Saccharomyces cerevisiae S288C: one gene and its partners. The main gene of each other region encodes a partner of the protein of the gene in region 3 in a complex. Each region holds a gene or a part of one and is shown on either strand. Other genes may lie near its edges.

Region 1 (5,677 bases), on a different chromosome or scaffold from region 3:
GAATTATTTGTGGATACAGGTAAAGCTTGTCGTATGGTCATATATGGTCGTTTATTATACTTATCGTTCAATTCCCATAAGAATAACTCCTCTCTAGCTGAAGATGATATCATTAGTTTGTGATTTATAAACTGACAACGTTGTAATCCAGACACATGCTTTCTTTGTGTCCAAAAATTCTGCACCTTCCCTGTTCTATTGTTAAAATATCCCAGCTTAATTGTAGTATCTTCAGATGCAGTACAGAATATATGCCCATCCTTAAAATTGTCATTCGTGTTGGTATTTGAAACAGGACAGATTGAAATATCTCTGATTTCCCTTCCGTGTACACCATTTTCTAAAGTTTCAGGCACAATGGAGTTGTAAATTTTCCTTAAATGAAATCGGGATGCCTTAATATACATTAATACGTGGCCATCAGTAATTTTTGCGAGATTCCACAGACGATGGGAACCACCACAAACTTCACTAGCTAGTTCATAACAGTTGGTTTCATTGTAGAGATAAAACAAGCTGGACTTGAACCCATAAGTAATGTATTCACCTTTTGAATTAAAGAAAGCGCCCTCCAAGAAACCTTTCATCATCTTATTAGAATGCAAGACCTTATAACTTAGTCGGTAGGGACCCTCTTCCAAACTGTTTTTCGTCAACTCAATAAATACATAATAGCCATCCCTATTTGTTACTGAGAAGACCGCAGAGTTGTCTTTATCTTCTACAAATTCGATTGAGGTTGTAGTGTCTCCGGGACTTAATCTCCTAATTATGAAGGGCTCCTCGCTCTCATCAAGTAAGTTGTAGATTACTAATGTACTAAAACGTGAGCCGACTAAAATATGATTTCGGAAGGAGGTCAAACATGAGGAAGAAAAATTTTCCGGCTTATTGAAACAGTGCTTGCTTTTAATTTTTAAGTTCTGAAGGCTTATTTCCAAACATACAAACTTCTCTCGAGGATTTGGGGATTGTAAAGTCAATAGGAAGGAGTCATCATCGTATTCTGTAACGAGACAGTTATTTGTCTTAGAAAGCTCATCTAAATGGAATTCTTCGGTCTCAATTATGTCAGCGCTATCTTTGCTAAATTTGATAAGAAGGATGTCACTTTTATTATTGGAAAAGACAGCGATATTTTGCGTTTGAATCCCATTTGTAATTGGATACGAGTTGAATTTTTCATTTGTTAGTAACAACTTCCATTGTTTCGTGACATCACTGTATTTAAGTATTTTACCCAATGAAGTGATAGCAATTACACCGAATGAAAACCATTGAAATCCCTTGATACTTTCATTCTTTTCGAAAATATCGCCACATTGCTTTGCGATATCATCTAGACTGAACGATGTTTCTTCATCGCCGTGTCTCTTCAGTTGAAGAAGATCAATCAGCTTTAACCTACCATCATTCCCGGAGGTTACAGCTATCATTTCGTCGTCTTTCACATCAACGCCCCATATACTCTTGATTAAATGTACTTCGTAAACGTTAGATATGGATAATTCGGCAACGTTTTCTCGTGATTCGATAATGTTCCATACACGGCATGTGCAATCTTCAGAAACACTTATTAGTTTTGAATCATTATCAAAAAACATTAAATTCCATATTCTTGCCGTATGGCTCCAGCCAACAGACAGCTGCTTGCCAGTTTCTAAATCCCACAGTCTAATTGATCTGTCGTCAGAGCAACTGGCAACATATCTTCCGTTGTTGCTTAAATTAACATAAAAGATAGAACCTTCATGACCCAGTAAGTTATGAATTTTTGTCTCCGAGAACAGGTCCCAAATGATAACACCGCCCATTACAGTACCAGCGTTAACATATACTTTATCCGGACCGAAAACTTTAATTATACCGGAATATAGAATAGATCTTTCTCCCCCAAGAGACTTCCTAAAAAGAACTTCACAATTTAAATCACAAATTAGCACTTTATTATAACATGTTAACAAATATATTTGCAAGTTGTCAAAGCTGAATGTAGCACCGGTAATCCAATCTGAGTTAATCCTTTCGAAATCCACCAATGACTCTTTCTTTAAAACGTCTTCAAGTTCCACTATTGTTACTGATCTTGCACCATAGGCCAAAATTTTCCCTTCACTAGAAAGGCTAAGTCCATGAACTTTATTGTAGTGAAATAGCCTACATTTGTTAATCAACGTAGCCGAATGATAGTCATAGACATGGATGAAAGGCCCATAACCAGCTAGAACATAATCATTGTAAAATTTAACACATAGCGCAGGACCATAATGAGACAAGTCCTTCATTTTAATCACTTATTCTTCTTCAATGAGCAACTTCAATTGGCGGGAATGAGAAGCTAAATAACGATGAGGTCCGCTAGCAGAAGTTTTTTCATGCTCATATTTTTCCACTTTTTTTTTCTTACATTTTTTTTTTCAGCAGCGTCGTTTTTTGTGAGACGCCGATGTGTATGCTAGGCTTAAATCTATCATTCAGACCCCAGTGTAAAACATAAGCGGTGAAAAGTACGTAGGGTAGTATACAACTCACCAAAGCACGACTACGTGAAAATGACCCTGAGAGTATCATCAATGTTATCGGCTGTATAAATAATACACCAGAACAAATTCCTCTTAAAGATGTAGGCAAGACCAGACTCAGTTTCTCTGAGCAGTACCTTCAATTTTCAATTTTTGATAGATGTTCGTCACTAATATTTTTTTATTGAGTTAAGTTCACCCACTTCTGGCACTTCTTATAACCTTGATAATTAAAAAGACCTCGGCGGTTATTTTTTATTTTGAGCAGTTATAAAGGGCATTACCCTCATCATCTTGCGGAAATAGGACGGAGCACGTCGCAGACAGGCTTTAACGTAATCAATTAGTTTTGAAAAATTTCTCCGCTATGGGTAAACTAGGTAAACCGCACAGCACAATCAGCTGCATTTTCTATTTTCAATTTTCTATTGGTGGCTTTTCACTGCATGATCAAAAAATAACGTTTTGTTGATTAGTTTTTTCTTTTTTGTTCTTGTTGGTTTTCGTATATGAATTTTATGTAACTGGGTATTTACAGGGGTACAAAGTTCACAACAGAGACCATCAATAGTTTGTTTCCTTCGAAGTTTACTTTGCGTAACCTTACTAAAAGATAGCATAAACATATAGGAGTATAGAGAAGAGTAATGGAATCGACAGCAATAGTGCCTAAAGGCCCTGTTGTGGGTAGTGAAGATATGGAGAAAGCGGAAGTCATTGCTAGTGGGTCCACAGACATTATATCAACAACATCAACAGCGACAACAACGGCGGCGATTGGAAGTGTACAGGAAGAAAGTGTAAAACAAGAAGATGTTCCTATGGAAGGTGGAGAGGGGGAAGTCGAGGAAGAGGAAGGCGAAACTCGCTGTATCTGTGGAGAGCTCGATACTCCAGATGACTCCGGATTTTTCATTCAATGTGAGCAGTGCAGTTCCTGGCAGCACGGTTATTGTGTGAGTATTACTCAAGACAACGCACCTGATAAATATTGGTGCGAGCAATGCAGACCGGAGTTACATCAGCTCTTTACCACAGATACTGGCGAAGCAAGGTCAATCTATAAACCTGTGCAAGAGAAAAGGAGGCAATCAAGAAGGAAGGCACGAAGTGCAGCTGCAAGTAAATCTCATGCCGCCAATGAAGCAGAGAAAAGTCCCAGAAATACCAGCAATACCGATGATAACGTCGACGATATCGGCGACGAAGAAGATGAAGTAGAAGATGAAGCTTCGGCTGTAGCATTAGCCAAGGACGGCAACACGAGGTCAAGTAGAAGGAGGAGGAGGAATTCAATGGATGATGCTTCTACCGATCAGTATTCACTGGATCCTGGAGATAGTGATAAGAAGCTACTGGATAGAAAAAGGGCAACTTTCATGGCAAGAGAAGAAAAGCAATATCAAAGAATGCTTGAAAAAGCCTTGAAAGAAAGCAGGAGGACATCACATCAAGAAGATCCTGAAAGTTATGAAAATGATGCTGATATATACCAAGGTGATACCGACAATCACAACGGCACCACTCGATTACAAACGGATGTTATGCTAACGGAAGGCAAACCGGACTCGGTAACAAATGATGATATGAAAGAAAGCCTACGACCATCGAAAGAGCAATCAATGGAAAAAACAAATGATGTGGAAAAAGAAGCTAGTCAAGAAAAGGAATCTTCTACGGGTTCGGCGCAAGACACTGAGAAAACTGATGAACCCATCCTACCCCTAACCTCAATATCTTCTTCTGAGGATGATTCAAGGAAAGCTAGTTCGAGGGGTTCTAAAAGAGTTTCCAAACCAGCAAGAAAGGGCAACAGAACTCGTCGAAGCAATACAAGTTCAGACACCAACCAAAATAGAAGGAGTGCTGATATAGGTACCGACAAACCAGTAAAGCCCAGATTACCCCCTCAAAGGACCTCATTAAACGAAATGAGAAGAAGGGTATCCGCTATTTTGGAGTTCATTTCTAGAACTCAATGGGAATTGAGTGAAGATCAGTCTGATCGAGAGGAATTTGTACGATTCGTGGAAAACCAGCATTTCGTAGAAAAAGTTGATACGATTTACAACGGTTATAATGAAAGTCTATCAATGATGGACGACCTGACTAGAGAGTTACTACTATGGGAGAAAAAATATTCAAATAACACTAATGCCATTCAATAAACGCAAAACACTGCAATATTATTCTCAACCAAAGTATAACTGTAATGAGGCGAACAAACACATCTATACATATATATACATCTATATGGATATAAAAACGACTAATTCAACGTTGTTTTTATCAACCGAGCTTACTCTTGTACGGGTAACCGCAAGGATAGCTAGTTGCGGATGGTATAGCGATTTGGCTGGCACGATGATTAAGGAATCCAAACATCTAATGGACTAGCACATTCTATCGATTTACGGGTCAGGTAAACATAGATATTGGGATATATCATATATCCTTACTGAGTAACTATAATTATGGTTCATCGAGGAAGGACTTTGAAGTCAGACACTGATGTAACATCTCTTAATGCGTCAACAGTATCACACCAGTCAAAGCCATTTAGACAGTTTTCGACTAGGTCGAGAGCAAAGAGTAACGCAAGCTTCAAAGGTTTGCGTAGAGTTTTAACACATGATGGCACCCTGGATAATGATTATTTTAATAAGCACAACGTTTCTCAGAAATGCAAGAGTTCTGATGCACTTTTCAGAAAGCGAACGATTAGTGGGTTGAATATGACAGCTTTAACAAGAGTAAAGTCCAATCAAGGAAAAAGATCAGCATCCTTTCATAGTCCGGTGCATAATACGCTGCTCAGTCCAAAGAACAGCAGTCATTCTAATACTGGAACTGCTGGTTTCGGCCTGAAACCACGAAGAAGTAAAAGTACCCAATCTGTTCTGAGTCTTCGAGATGCGCAAGAATCTAAAAAGAGTGAATCTACTACTGACGAGGAGGTGGAATGTTTTTCGGAAGACAACATTGAAGATGGAAAGGTGAATAATGATAAAGTAATAGCCGAGCATGTTATGCCTGAAGAAAAAAAGAATGTGCAGCAATTAAATCAGAATGAATTACAATCCCCGGATTCAATAGATGAACAAGAAGAAGATAAATCAGGTACTGATGGAAAGGAAAATCATAGAGCTGTATCC
Region 2 (5,786 bases), on a different chromosome or scaffold from region 3:
AAGATGCTACTTTACAAGGATTAGCGTAAACAATTCTATCCGGCGAGATGTTCATCGATAATACTCTGTCAATTTCCACTTTGGAAGCGCAATCGAAATTAACGCCCAACTCTGCTAATAATGACAAAACCTTGGTATCAGGATTACATTTGACGGCATAAAATGGCTTAATTCTAGGAAGCTCCTTCACCCAGTTGTTGAATAATCTCTTGACTTCTCCCAAATCGCATATGAAAAACGAGTTCTCCTCACCGGGGTCGCACGTTTCATTATTAATTCTACCAATACGAGCCTTGAGCGCTTGAAATATTTTAGGATGCGCTTGTTCATGCGGTAAAAGTTCCAAATCTTGGTTATTCTTTAGTTCAAGCAAAAGATTGTGCAGCGTCTCGCCATCTTTATAATATTGCTTCTTTTGGGTAACCGTAGAATTAGACAAGTCCACTAAAGTAGTAGTGGAACTAGATAGAGCATTTCCTACTTGAGTACTAGACATAGTAAGTTTGAAATTCAAAGGTTTTGATTACTATGAAAAAGTTGTAGAACAATCAAAAAATCTTACCTACTTAAACTTGAAACAAAAGCCGTGCTGAAACCTGGATGATAAACCAAGGAACGAAAAGTTCTTCTGTCCTTTCTATTAACTACACTATTATGATTGAATTTTAAGCTTATTAGAAGCAGGTTCCGCTATTTCAGTGCAATAAATGCTTTTCATTTTCGATTTCAGAATAAAAATCAGGATGACCAATCTATTGCGCAGGAGAAGTTATTAGAATGATTTCACTTCGAAATGGGCGAAAATATCTGCACGGCGCAGATTAAAATTAATCGGTGAAGAAAACGAAGATGCCGCGGCGTGTCGAATGAAAATGAAAGAAAATGAATTTTTATTTGTAGTTTATTTAGCACAGACAAGGAGAGAAATGTACAATTGTTTCGTGATAATGTCTCTTATTAGTTGAAAGAGATTCAGTTATCCATGTATCAATTCTCTACTGTCTCAGTTATGTAATTACAAAATAAGCAACGGTACCCTTCAATTTCGCAGTTGCGTTCGGGGACGAATTCTTTGTCTATTCCATTGGATTTCATAATGTTTATTTCACCCTTTGTGGGGATCTTACGACATAAATCGTTCAAACATCTTGTATGTGTTTTTTTATATCGAAGACCACAAGAGTTACATAGCTGATCTTGCTTTCTTGGCGACCACGATGGCCTCCAACAGGGCGAATCACTCGAATGACACGACACGCACACTCTTGTGGTGTGACGAGTGGGTGATGAGCCACTGGACCTTCTACTTCCCTTTTTCGTTATGCTTGAATTTGATGATCTTCGAGGGCTTTGAGGGGGAGAGTCGAGAGCAAATCTATGATAATTGGGTGACCTTGGGCTTGGAGTGTATGCCTTGGGACGCACAGGTGAGGATGATCTTGATCTCATCTTGCCACTTTTCGTCGGTGTGGAGGGAGATGGAGATGAAGATGCAGAGACAGAACTGTAACTAGCGTTGTCGAGTTTCATCACCAATTGTCTTGCAGTGTTACCGAAAACATTTGATGCTTGCTTTGAGATTTTGTTCTTAGATGGTTTCCTTACATTAGATTTGGAATTGTTCGATAGAATGTCTCTATTCGCAAGCAATTTTTTTATTTGCAAAGCTTTGAAACTGTTCGTCTTTTTGTGACTGGCATTTGGCATGGGAAATGAATTTCCACGTAATTGTCTTTGATGTTTAACTTCTTGAACCAATTTTTCACTAATAATTGGATTGAATATTGAATCGTTATTGCTGGATTTCCCCTCAAAAAAAGAGGCCTCTACTCCTCTAAGCGTCGTGCGCTCCATGGTTCTATTGGTTGGTGGACTCATCGGCGGTGTGACGGGAGGAGTAATACTCCATGCATTGTTGGAAAGATCTTTAAATTGATCTTTAGCTTCTAGAATCGAAGGAATTAGTTTGGTACGATCAAATGATTCCTTAGACGGGGAATGGAACTTGGACGACCTAGTCGATTCCAATTCCTTGCCGTAATTGAAACTATCATTATTTTGATTATTAGTTAAGTTGGGTATACTTAATGGCTTGAAATGAGCCACTTCTTCGCGTATTTTAACATAGTCTTGATAGTTTGTATCCTTACACCAATGGGTAAGATCAGTTTTCCAATTAGATGTACGTTTTGATGTATCAGGGAAGCGTGCTGCGTTTTCTTGTAAAAGAGGACTGGGTAATAATTGCAGATGCCTTAGTGATGGTAGGCTTTGTTGTGGGCGCTCCGGTCTCTTAGATAAAGAGACGGACGATAGCCTGTCTAACAATGGTAGTCGAGGTTGTGAATTAGAGGAAAAACCTAAGCCAGACCCATAGTTCAATGGATTTGTAAAACTAATCTGAGATAAGCTTGCCTTGTTGAATTCTGGTGAATTGCCTGGTGTTAATGAGGAAATTGGATTGTAATCCATATGATGTGGCGATGCTGGTGCAGTATTTGATTTTTTTCCAAGTATTTCGTTAGCCAAAGATATTGGGGAAAGAATTGGCGACACATTGAGCGAATGAAACGAATACTTCCTAGGACTTGCTGAATTTATATTGTTATCGGTTGTGATATTGTTCCTGCTGATATTACTGGATAAATTGGAAAATGAAGGCAATAAAAGATTGTCATAATAGGAGCTATTTGCATGAGAATCCGGACCAGCAGATAATGCATGCAGTGGTGTTTTGATGTATAAGCTTGACATTTTTTTGCTTTTCCCGTTATGAGAAATGTTTTTTTTAGACTGAAAATAAAAGAATGGATAGTATTAAAATAGTAATGAACGTAATAAGGATAGGACAGGAGCGATAGGAAAAGATAGAATTTTGGAGCTTTTTTTCCCTCTTTTTTTGAGCAGGAGCCAATAGTAGTCGGAAAGATGAGTGTATAGATTTTTCGTATTTTATTTCGAGTAAAAATATCACGCTCTTAGGTTCAATAAAAGAATATACTATTTCTTCAAAATGCTTCTCTAATCTATTTTTTTATTTTCCTTAATAACTGAAATATTATTTTTTGATGTAAAATGAGTGAACAAGAATAAAGGATTTTTGGTATGTTTGCAAGTTCTGTGGAGTTCCATGTATAAGGTATACATATTAGAAAAGCTTTACGATTATATACTAACATCATGTACAAAACAGTTTAATAATGATCTGTATTGCTGGCTCAATCCACGTAAGGAAAATGATCAGCCCAATCCTCAAAAATAAAATGGCCCTTCCAAAATTAGAGACATATCGTAGAAATCAGACGCACGCTTGGCGTCAATATCCTAAAACGGAAAACTAATCAGTTAGATGTGTCTTTTTTAGGTAAAAAAAGGCAACCAACTTTTTGCTGGCTAGCGATGCGACAATAAACGCGCGCAGCGAATAAAAATAAGATGGCGGAGGAGCAGAGACTTCTTTTCTTAGAAGAGGTTTTGTTACCGTATGGGGGTATGATGGTTAGATGGCTGAATAAAAACGTTAATTAAAGGAATACAGAAGAGGAAGCGCCCCGATTTCTTTTCTGTTCCACATGAAAGCAGCCGGTTGGGTGGTAGATCTCTAATGACATCCAAACTACAAAACCGAGATTGGACATATAGCACACTCTGCATTTCTACTTTCCTTTCTCCCTACAGTTTGCTCGATCTGAACCGATGCTTCTTTGATTGGACAAGATGATAGACCATGACTCCCTGTATGTATTGCAGAGATTGCCACTACTAACCAAGAAAAGTTGAACGTGTCGTACGTATAAAACGATTTATGCTTAGGCTTTACTGAAAAAAAAAAAGTAAAAAGAGGATGCGCAAACGCATAGAGCAAGTAACTAACCTGTTTTTATAGTATATACTTGGCCCCACCAGGCTGATCGTCAGGCAAAACGCCAAACTAATAACAGTAATAACAGAAATATGAACACCAATAGTAATACTATGGTAATGAATGACGCAAATCAAGCACAAATAACGGCCACATTTACGAAGAAGATATTAGCGCATTTGGATGATCCGGACTCCAACAAATTGGCCCAATTCGTACAGCTTTTTAATCCAAACAACTGCAGAATAATATTTAATGCTACCCCCTTCGCGCAAGCAACAGTTTTTCTGCAAATGTGGCAAAACCAGGTCGTACAAACACAACATGCCCTAACAGGAGTAGACTATCACGCTATTCCGGGATCCGGCACGTTGATATGCAACGTCAATTGCAAAGTCAGATTCGACGAAAGCGGCAGAGACAAGATGGGGCAAGACGCGACTGTTCCCATTCAACCAAATAACACTGGGAACAGAAATCGACCCAACGATATGAACAAGCCAAGACCTCTATGGGGTCCATATTTTGGCATTTCCCTGCAGCTGATCATCGACGACCGCATATTTAGAAATGATTTTAATGGTGTAATATCGGGGTTTAACTATAACATGGTTTACAAACCCGAGGATTCTCTGCTAAAAATTTAGTGGGAAGATTCCGCTCTACCAGGGAAAAACAAAATTATATAGAAAAGAAGGTAAGTAATAAGTAATACGAAAAAACCCAAAAAAAAAATTCAAATACCCCAACCCTGTGCCCTTTCTATTTTTATGGTTGAAAAGGTTACAGAGGATCCTCTGGAGCGGTGACAACAGTTGACGCAATCATGGTCCCTGGCGGTCCCTAAGGATATCTCGGAGGAACCGAGGCACGGAAACGGCTGCACGGGTACGCCAGATAAGGATAATTCAGCCGTCACGCATGAACAGAAGGATGAGCATTTGCTCACCTTCCTGGACTTAACTTGCGTGAATGAAAAGAAGAACACCAATGTTAGAGTAGGGCTTCGCACCAAACTTTAATCAAGAAATCTGAGGAGAAATGATTCTAAGTCTAGCCACGAAAACTGCAAAGCGCACCAAAAGTAAGAAACGACAAAGTTTTTCTAGCATTTTTTTGTTTCATCAAGAGAAGAAACACGATTTATATAACTGTTACCGCTAAAACCTACATCTAAACTTTTTAATATCTGAAAGCGCTAGTCGTGTGTACCCCCCTCAACTGATCAACTGGTCAACGAGCTTTACTTGTGGAAGTTCATGGCAAACGCTCCTTGGCTTTTGCCTAGTCTTGTTCTATGGCACATTTTTCTGTTGAGTTACACCCCGCGTGCTAAAAAAGGGGTGAACCATCAGAAAGCTTATTACTGAGTTTTGCGGAGCATCGCTCGGAGCGGCGGAATTGAATCGAACCGCCGTGCTATTACCGAACAAAAAAATTCGAAAGCATAAACTCAGTAGTGAAAAACTTGAGAATTTTCAGATGAGTGGCGACTTTCCAGTCCTTGCGGTTTTGTCACCTTAGTCAGCTAGTAAGGAGGCCGTGTGGGTTAGAGTGGCTACAATCCTCAAAGGGCACTTCTAGAACCCACGGTGAATTTTTTTTGGCATGATAAATCGGTAGAATCGGTGAAGTAATTACCCAAAAAAGGATCGGGATTGTGTTTCTCGTAATTCCGTATTATTGCCGATGGCATCGACTACTTCTTTTTTCAGAAACCCCAACAAGGGTCTATTGTAATTGTATATAAACCTTTTTGTAATGGATATATACATGTGGTACTATTTCTCCTCATCCTGCTCCATCGAAAATCCTCATACGAAGAGTTAGGAAAGCAAAGAAAACAACAAAAACATGAGGATCGAAAAGCACCGTACCCCCCTGTCGAAGGGAATTATTTGGACGATATTGTCTGTGTGCCTTT
Region 3 (5,541 bases):
TGAGAAAGAATATCCTGGCTTTATACTTACAACTCGCTCAAGATGATACTCCAATGGTGAAAAGGGCCGTCGGTAAAAACCTGCCCATCTTGATCGATCTGTTGACTCAAAATTTGGGATTATCTACAGACGAAGATTGGGATTACATTTCTAACATTTTCCAGAAAATCATTAACGATAATCAAGATTCTGTCAAGTTTCTGGCAGTTGATTGTTTAATTTCCATCTTGAAATTTTTTAACGCTAAAGGTGATGAGTCTCACACTCAAGATTTATTGAACTCTGCTGTCAAATTAATTGGTGACGAAGCGTGGAGGGTACGTTACATGGCTGCCGATAGATTTTCAGATTTAGCCTCGCAATTCAGTTCCAACCAAGCATATATCGATGAATTAGTACAACCATTTTTGAACCTTTGTGAGGACAACGAGGGAGATGTTAGGGAAGCTGTGGCTAAACAAGTTTCTGGGTTTGCCAAGTTCCTAAATGATCCTTCAATTATATTGAATAAGATCTTACCTGCTGTGCAGAATTTGAGTATGGACGAAAGTGAAACAGTGAGATCTGCTTTGGCTTCTAAGATTACAAATATTGTATTACTGTTGAATAAAGATCAAGTCATTAACAATTTTCTTCCGATTTTACTGAATATGCTAAGAGATGAGTTCCCTGACGTTCGTTTAAATATCATTGCCAGCTTGAAGGTTGTCAATGACGTAATAGGAATTGAGCTGCTATCAGACTCTTTGTTACCTGCCATAACAGAATTAGCCAAGGACGTGAATTGGAGAGTTAGAATGGCTATAATTGAGTACATACCTATCTTGGCAGAACAATTAGGTATGCAATTTTTTGACCAACAGTTAAGCGATTTATGTCTTTCATGGTTGTGGGATACTGTTTATTCTATCAGAGAAGCCGCAGTGAATAATTTAAAAAGGTTAACGGAAATATTTGGCTCTGATTGGTGTCGTGATGAAATTATTTCAAGACTGCTCAAATTTGATCTACAATTACTGGAAAATTTTGTCTCGAGGTTCACAATACTCTCTGCTCTAACCACTTTGGTGCCCGTGGTATCGTTAGATGTCGTTACTGAGCAACTATTACCATTCATTTCTCACTTGGCTGATGACGGTGTTCCAAATATTAGGTTTAATGTGGCCAAATCCTACGCTGTGATAGTGAAGGTTTTAATTAAGGACGAGGCCAAATATGATGCATTAATTAAGAACACAATTTTACCCTCATTGCAAACGCTGTGTCAAGACGAAGATGTTGATGTAAAATACTTCGCTAAGAAAAGTTTGGCAGAATGTCAAGAACTTTTAAAAAATTGATACTAGTTCAAATATATACATACATACACATATGTACACTTGAATGAATAAAAAGTATACATATTAACAACTAGGCCTGCTTTCTTTTCTTTTCTTTTTTTTTTTTTTTACCACACTTAGTCCTCTACTTTAACAGAAATATCATTTTCCAGTTTGACCATAGTTTCTTCAACTGTTTTCTCCTCGTGTTTAACATTGATTTCCGCCTCCACGTTCAGTTCACGTTTTCCTTCCAGGTATTTCACCCACTTTGGATAACTCATGATATTTTGCTGGATTTCCTTGTACAATTGAGACTGCAAATCCCAATCTAAGGAGCTTCTGGGATCATCCGGTGGCAAGAATTGTAACATGTCACCAAGGTTCCTCGATTTAGTGATTATTTGTCCAAATCCAACCAGCAACCCATTTATTTCTGTCCAAAGCCCCTTAGGCAGCCAATTTTGTAATTGAGTTCTTGTCTGATCTGGAGTCTTGCATTTCTGCGCATCTACCCATTTCCAAAGCTTGGTCAATCTATCCACGTGAACGTCAACGCAGATACCTTCAATCTTGCCCCATGCCTTTTGTAATGTTAGATAAGCCATTTTGGGCCCTACACCGGGCAGGCCCAATAGCTCATTAATCGTAGCTGGAACATCACTCGAAAACTGATCTTGAAGGATTTTGCAGGTTGACAAAATATACTTGGCCTTCCTTGTGTGGAACCCAACTGAATGAATCAATTCGTCTAATTTGGTCTCATTGATTTGTAAAACGGCCTCTAATGTCATACCTTCTTCGCTGTGCAGTTCGTCTATACAATACCGCATTATGTTAAGCATTGCCATTGCGGTAACTTCATCTTTTGTTTGCGATGATAGCATCACCCCAAGAAGGACCTGTAATCTGTAGTCCCTCGGTGATATCTGCTCTTTCGAGATACCACACTTAGAGGCAACCGTTACAGGAATGGATGATCCACCAATTATATCGACGGGGGCTAGAATCTTAGATCTCAGTACTCGCATTCTAGCGTATGTTTCTTGAAACTTGTAAGGGACTTTCGTCGAGGCCGGAGTGACAAGGATCGAGGGGTCCAATGGTGTGGCCCACCTGTTGGGCACATTGCCGTTTCTAACCACAATCCATTCGAAGTACTGCTTATTTGGCAGCGATTTAACCCAGTCGATATCCACGGGTTGAGGGACAACCTCTTCTTGTTTGATTTTGGTCCTTTTCTCCGGTAGGAGTTCTGATTCTGGCCCAGTTTCAGTCTTTACCAGCGGTCTTTTCCTCAGAATTGCCATAGATGAGTATTTACTGATCTTTTGCATATTTTTTTTTTTTTTGGGCTATAAAGTATATATAGATACAAATATATGATGAATCATTAAAGAGGAGGTTATTACTAAGTGAAAGAAAAAGAAAAAAAAAAAGATCAAAACCAAACTTCGTATTCGAGCCTAAAAAACAGAATATAATGTTATAATACTAATAGAAGCAACAGGAGCACCACTATCAGCACAAGAATAATCACGCAGTTGCCGTTATCCTTGAACCTAGAATTGTTAAAGCCATGCATGGACCGAGAGGCCCTGTTCAAATTCCTACCATTATTATCAATCAGGTTTTCTAAATCAACCAGCAGCGAGTCGTTCTGAGAAACGATCTCATTATTAAGGTCCAGCGAAATGTCATGAGTCCTCCCAATAGACTGAGACAGTGCGCCCAAGTGGGAATCTTGCTCTAACAACTGCTGTTGCTGGTTAATAAATAGTTCTTGGTTGGAAACCATGGGTTGTGGTGGCTGTGGCTGTGACTGTGACTGTAACTGCGATTGCAATGGTTCATCCTTGTATGGAGTATGCGTCGAAGGCAGCGGCGACTCCTCGTCTTGTTCATCGTCATCCTTATACATGACCGTAAGCTCGTCATCATTCTTGAACCGCACTTTTTTCAAAGACTCTTTGGACACCTCATCAGTATTTCTTGCCACCTGCTGTTGGAACCTATACAACTCCTTGTCAACCGCCGTATCAGGAATTTTGTCCAGTATGGTATTGTATCGGGATATTAGTTCATCATTGGGCGCACACTTCTGCAATAACTCCAATATTGAGCCCAATTGCCGTTTCAAAGTAACGTTATCGTTTGAGGTCGGGGCGAGCTTCAACACCGACACTAGCCTTGTTCTTTCTTCGACCAGATCAGAGAGCTGGTCCAGTTCATAACCCAGCTTCAACACATCCATACCGTGTGTGCTTACGCATCTATTTGCTGTCGTGAGATCTGTCTCTATGCTTTATTCGTTTTCCATTGTAAAGTCTCAGCATTTATTTCTTGTTCTTTACTTGTTTTTGCCCTTTCGGGTGATCAAAGTCGTGCTGGGAAATTTTATTCTTATAAAATGATTTTTAGAAATAATAAACTCATAACAGTGCAACGGCAAAGTACAAGGGAAGGAAGCACAGAAGCAAGAGGAGGCGCATCGATCGTGGCAGATGAGTCAGCAAACACCACAGGAAAGTGAACAGACCACAGCGAAAGAACAGGACCTTGATCAAGAGAGCGTGTTGAGCAACATTGACTTCAATACGGATTTGAATCACAATTTGAATTTATCGGAATACTGTATATCCAGTGACGCAGGAACAGAGAAGATGGATAGCGACGAGGAGAAGTCGTTGGCCAATCTGCCGGAGTTGAAATACGCTCCCAAGCTATCCAGCCTGGTGAAGCAAGAGACGCTCACCGAGAGCTTGAAAAGACCACACGAAGATGAGAAAGAGGCGATAGATGAGGCCAAGAAGATGAAAGTGCCGGGAGAGAACGAGGACGAAAGCAAGGAAGAGGAAAAGAGTCAAGAACTGGAAGAGGCAATTGACAGCAAGGAGAAGAGCACCGACGCCAGGGACGAGCAAGGGGACGAAGGTGATAATGAGGAGGAAAACAACGAGGAGGATAATGAAAACGAAAACGAGCATACAGCACCGCCTGCGCTGGTGATGCCCTCCCCCATCGAAATGGAGGAACAGAGGATGACTGCGCTGAAGGAAATCACCGACATCGAGTACAAGTTCGCGCAATTGCGCCAAAAACTATATGACAATCAATTGGTGCGGTTGCAAACGGAGCTGCAGATGTGTCTGGAAGGGTCACACCCGGAATTGCAGGTCTACTACTCGAAGATTGCCGCGATCCGTGACTACAAGCTACACCGAGCGTACCAGCGACAGAAGTACGAGCTTTCATGCATCAACACAGAAACAATCGCTACCAGGACATTCATTCACCAGGACTTCCACAAGAAGGTCACCGACCTGCGAGCCAGGCTGCTGAACAGAACCACGCAGACCTGGTACGATATCAACAAGGAGCGCCGCGATATGGATATAGTCATCCCAGATGTCAATTACCACGTCCCCATCAAACTTGATAACAAGACGCTGAGCTGTATCACGGGCTACGCCAGCGCAGCACAGCTGTGCTATCCCGGCGAGCCCGTGGCAGAGGACCTCGCTTGCGAAAGCATCGAGTACCGCTACAGAGCCAACCCGGTGGACAAACTCGAAGTCATTGTGGACCGAATGAGGCTCAATAACGAGATTAGCGACCTCGAAGGCCTGCGCAAATATTTCCACTCCTTCCCGGGTGCTCCTGAGTTGAACCCGCTTAGAGACTCCGAAATCAACGACGACTTCCACCAGTGGGCCCAGTGACCGCCACACTGGACCCCATACCACTTCTTTTTGTTATTCTTAAATATGTTGTAACGCTATGTAATTCCACCCTTCATTACTAATAATTAGCCATTCACGTGATCTCAGCCAGTTGTGGCGCCACACTTTTTTTTCCATAAAAATCCTCGAGGAAAAGAAAAGAAAAAAATATTTCAGTTATTTAAAGCATAAGATGCCAGGTAGATGGAACTTGTGCCGTGCCAGATTGAATTTTGAAAGTACAATTGAGGCCTATACACATAGACATTTGCACCTTATACATATACACACAAGACAAAACCAAAAAAAATATGACTCTACAAGAATCTGATAAATTTGCTACCAAGGCCATTCATGCCGGTGAACATGTGGACGTTCACGGTTCCGTGATCGAACCCATTTCTTTGTCCACCACTTTCAAACAATCTTCTCCAGCTAACCCTATCGGTACTTACGAATACTCCAGATCTCAAAATCCTAACAGAGAGAACTTGGAAAGA

Evidence for each region. Proteins that work in one complex are often made in the same cells at the same time.
Region 1: DEP1 (region 3) and CTI6 share a complex: the UniProt entries of both Saccharomyces cerevisiae proteins name them as parts of the RPD3C(L) complex.
Region 2: DEP1 (region 3) and ASH1 share a complex: the UniProt entries of both Saccharomyces cerevisiae proteins name them as parts of the RPD3C(L) complex.

What each region holds. Positions count from the first base shown.
Region 1 is NC_001148.4:200,252-205,928, forward strand, and holds CTI6 (Cti6p), read left to right. Parts: upstream 1-3,169; coding exon 3,170-4,690; downstream 4,691-5,677. Other genes in the region: tRNA (34-2'-O)-methyltransferase regulator RTT10, read right to left, coding at 1-2,285; TCO89 (Tco89p), read left to right, coding at 4,997-5,677. UniProt on the Saccharomyces cerevisiae protein: Component of the RPD3C(L) histone deacetylase complex (HDAC). Responsible for the deacetylation of lysine residues on the N-terminal part of the core histones (H2A, H2B, H3 and H4).
Region 2 is NC_001143.9:91,467-97,252, reverse strand, and holds ASH1 (DNA-binding transcription repressor ASH1), read right to left. Parts: upstream 2,755-5,786; coding exon 988-2,754; downstream 1-987. Other genes in the region: ornithine decarboxylase SPE1, read right to left, coding at 1-496; MTR2 (Mtr2p), read left to right, coding at 3,955-4,509; FAT3 (Fat3p), read left to right, coding at 5,717-5,786. UniProt on the Saccharomyces cerevisiae protein: Component of the RPD3C(L) histone deacetylase complex (HDAC). Responsible for the deacetylation of lysine residues on the N-terminal part of the core histones (H2A, H2B, H3 and H4).
Region 3 is NC_001133.9:125,447-130,987, forward strand, and holds DEP1 (Rpd3L histone deacetylase complex subunit DEP1), read left to right. Parts: upstream 1-3,823; coding exon 3,824-5,041; downstream 5,042-5,541. Other genes in the region: protein phosphatase 2A structural subunit TPD3, read left to right, coding at 1-1,340; bifunctional N-glycosylase/AP lyase NTG1, read right to left, coding at 1,457-2,656; SYN8 (syntaxin), read right to left, coding at 2,806-3,573; cystathionine gamma-lyase CYS3, read left to right, coding at 5,353-5,541. UniProt on the Saccharomyces cerevisiae protein: Component of the RPD3C(L) histone deacetylase complex (HDAC) responsible for the deacetylation of lysine residues on the N-terminal part of the core histones (H2A, H2B, H3 and H4).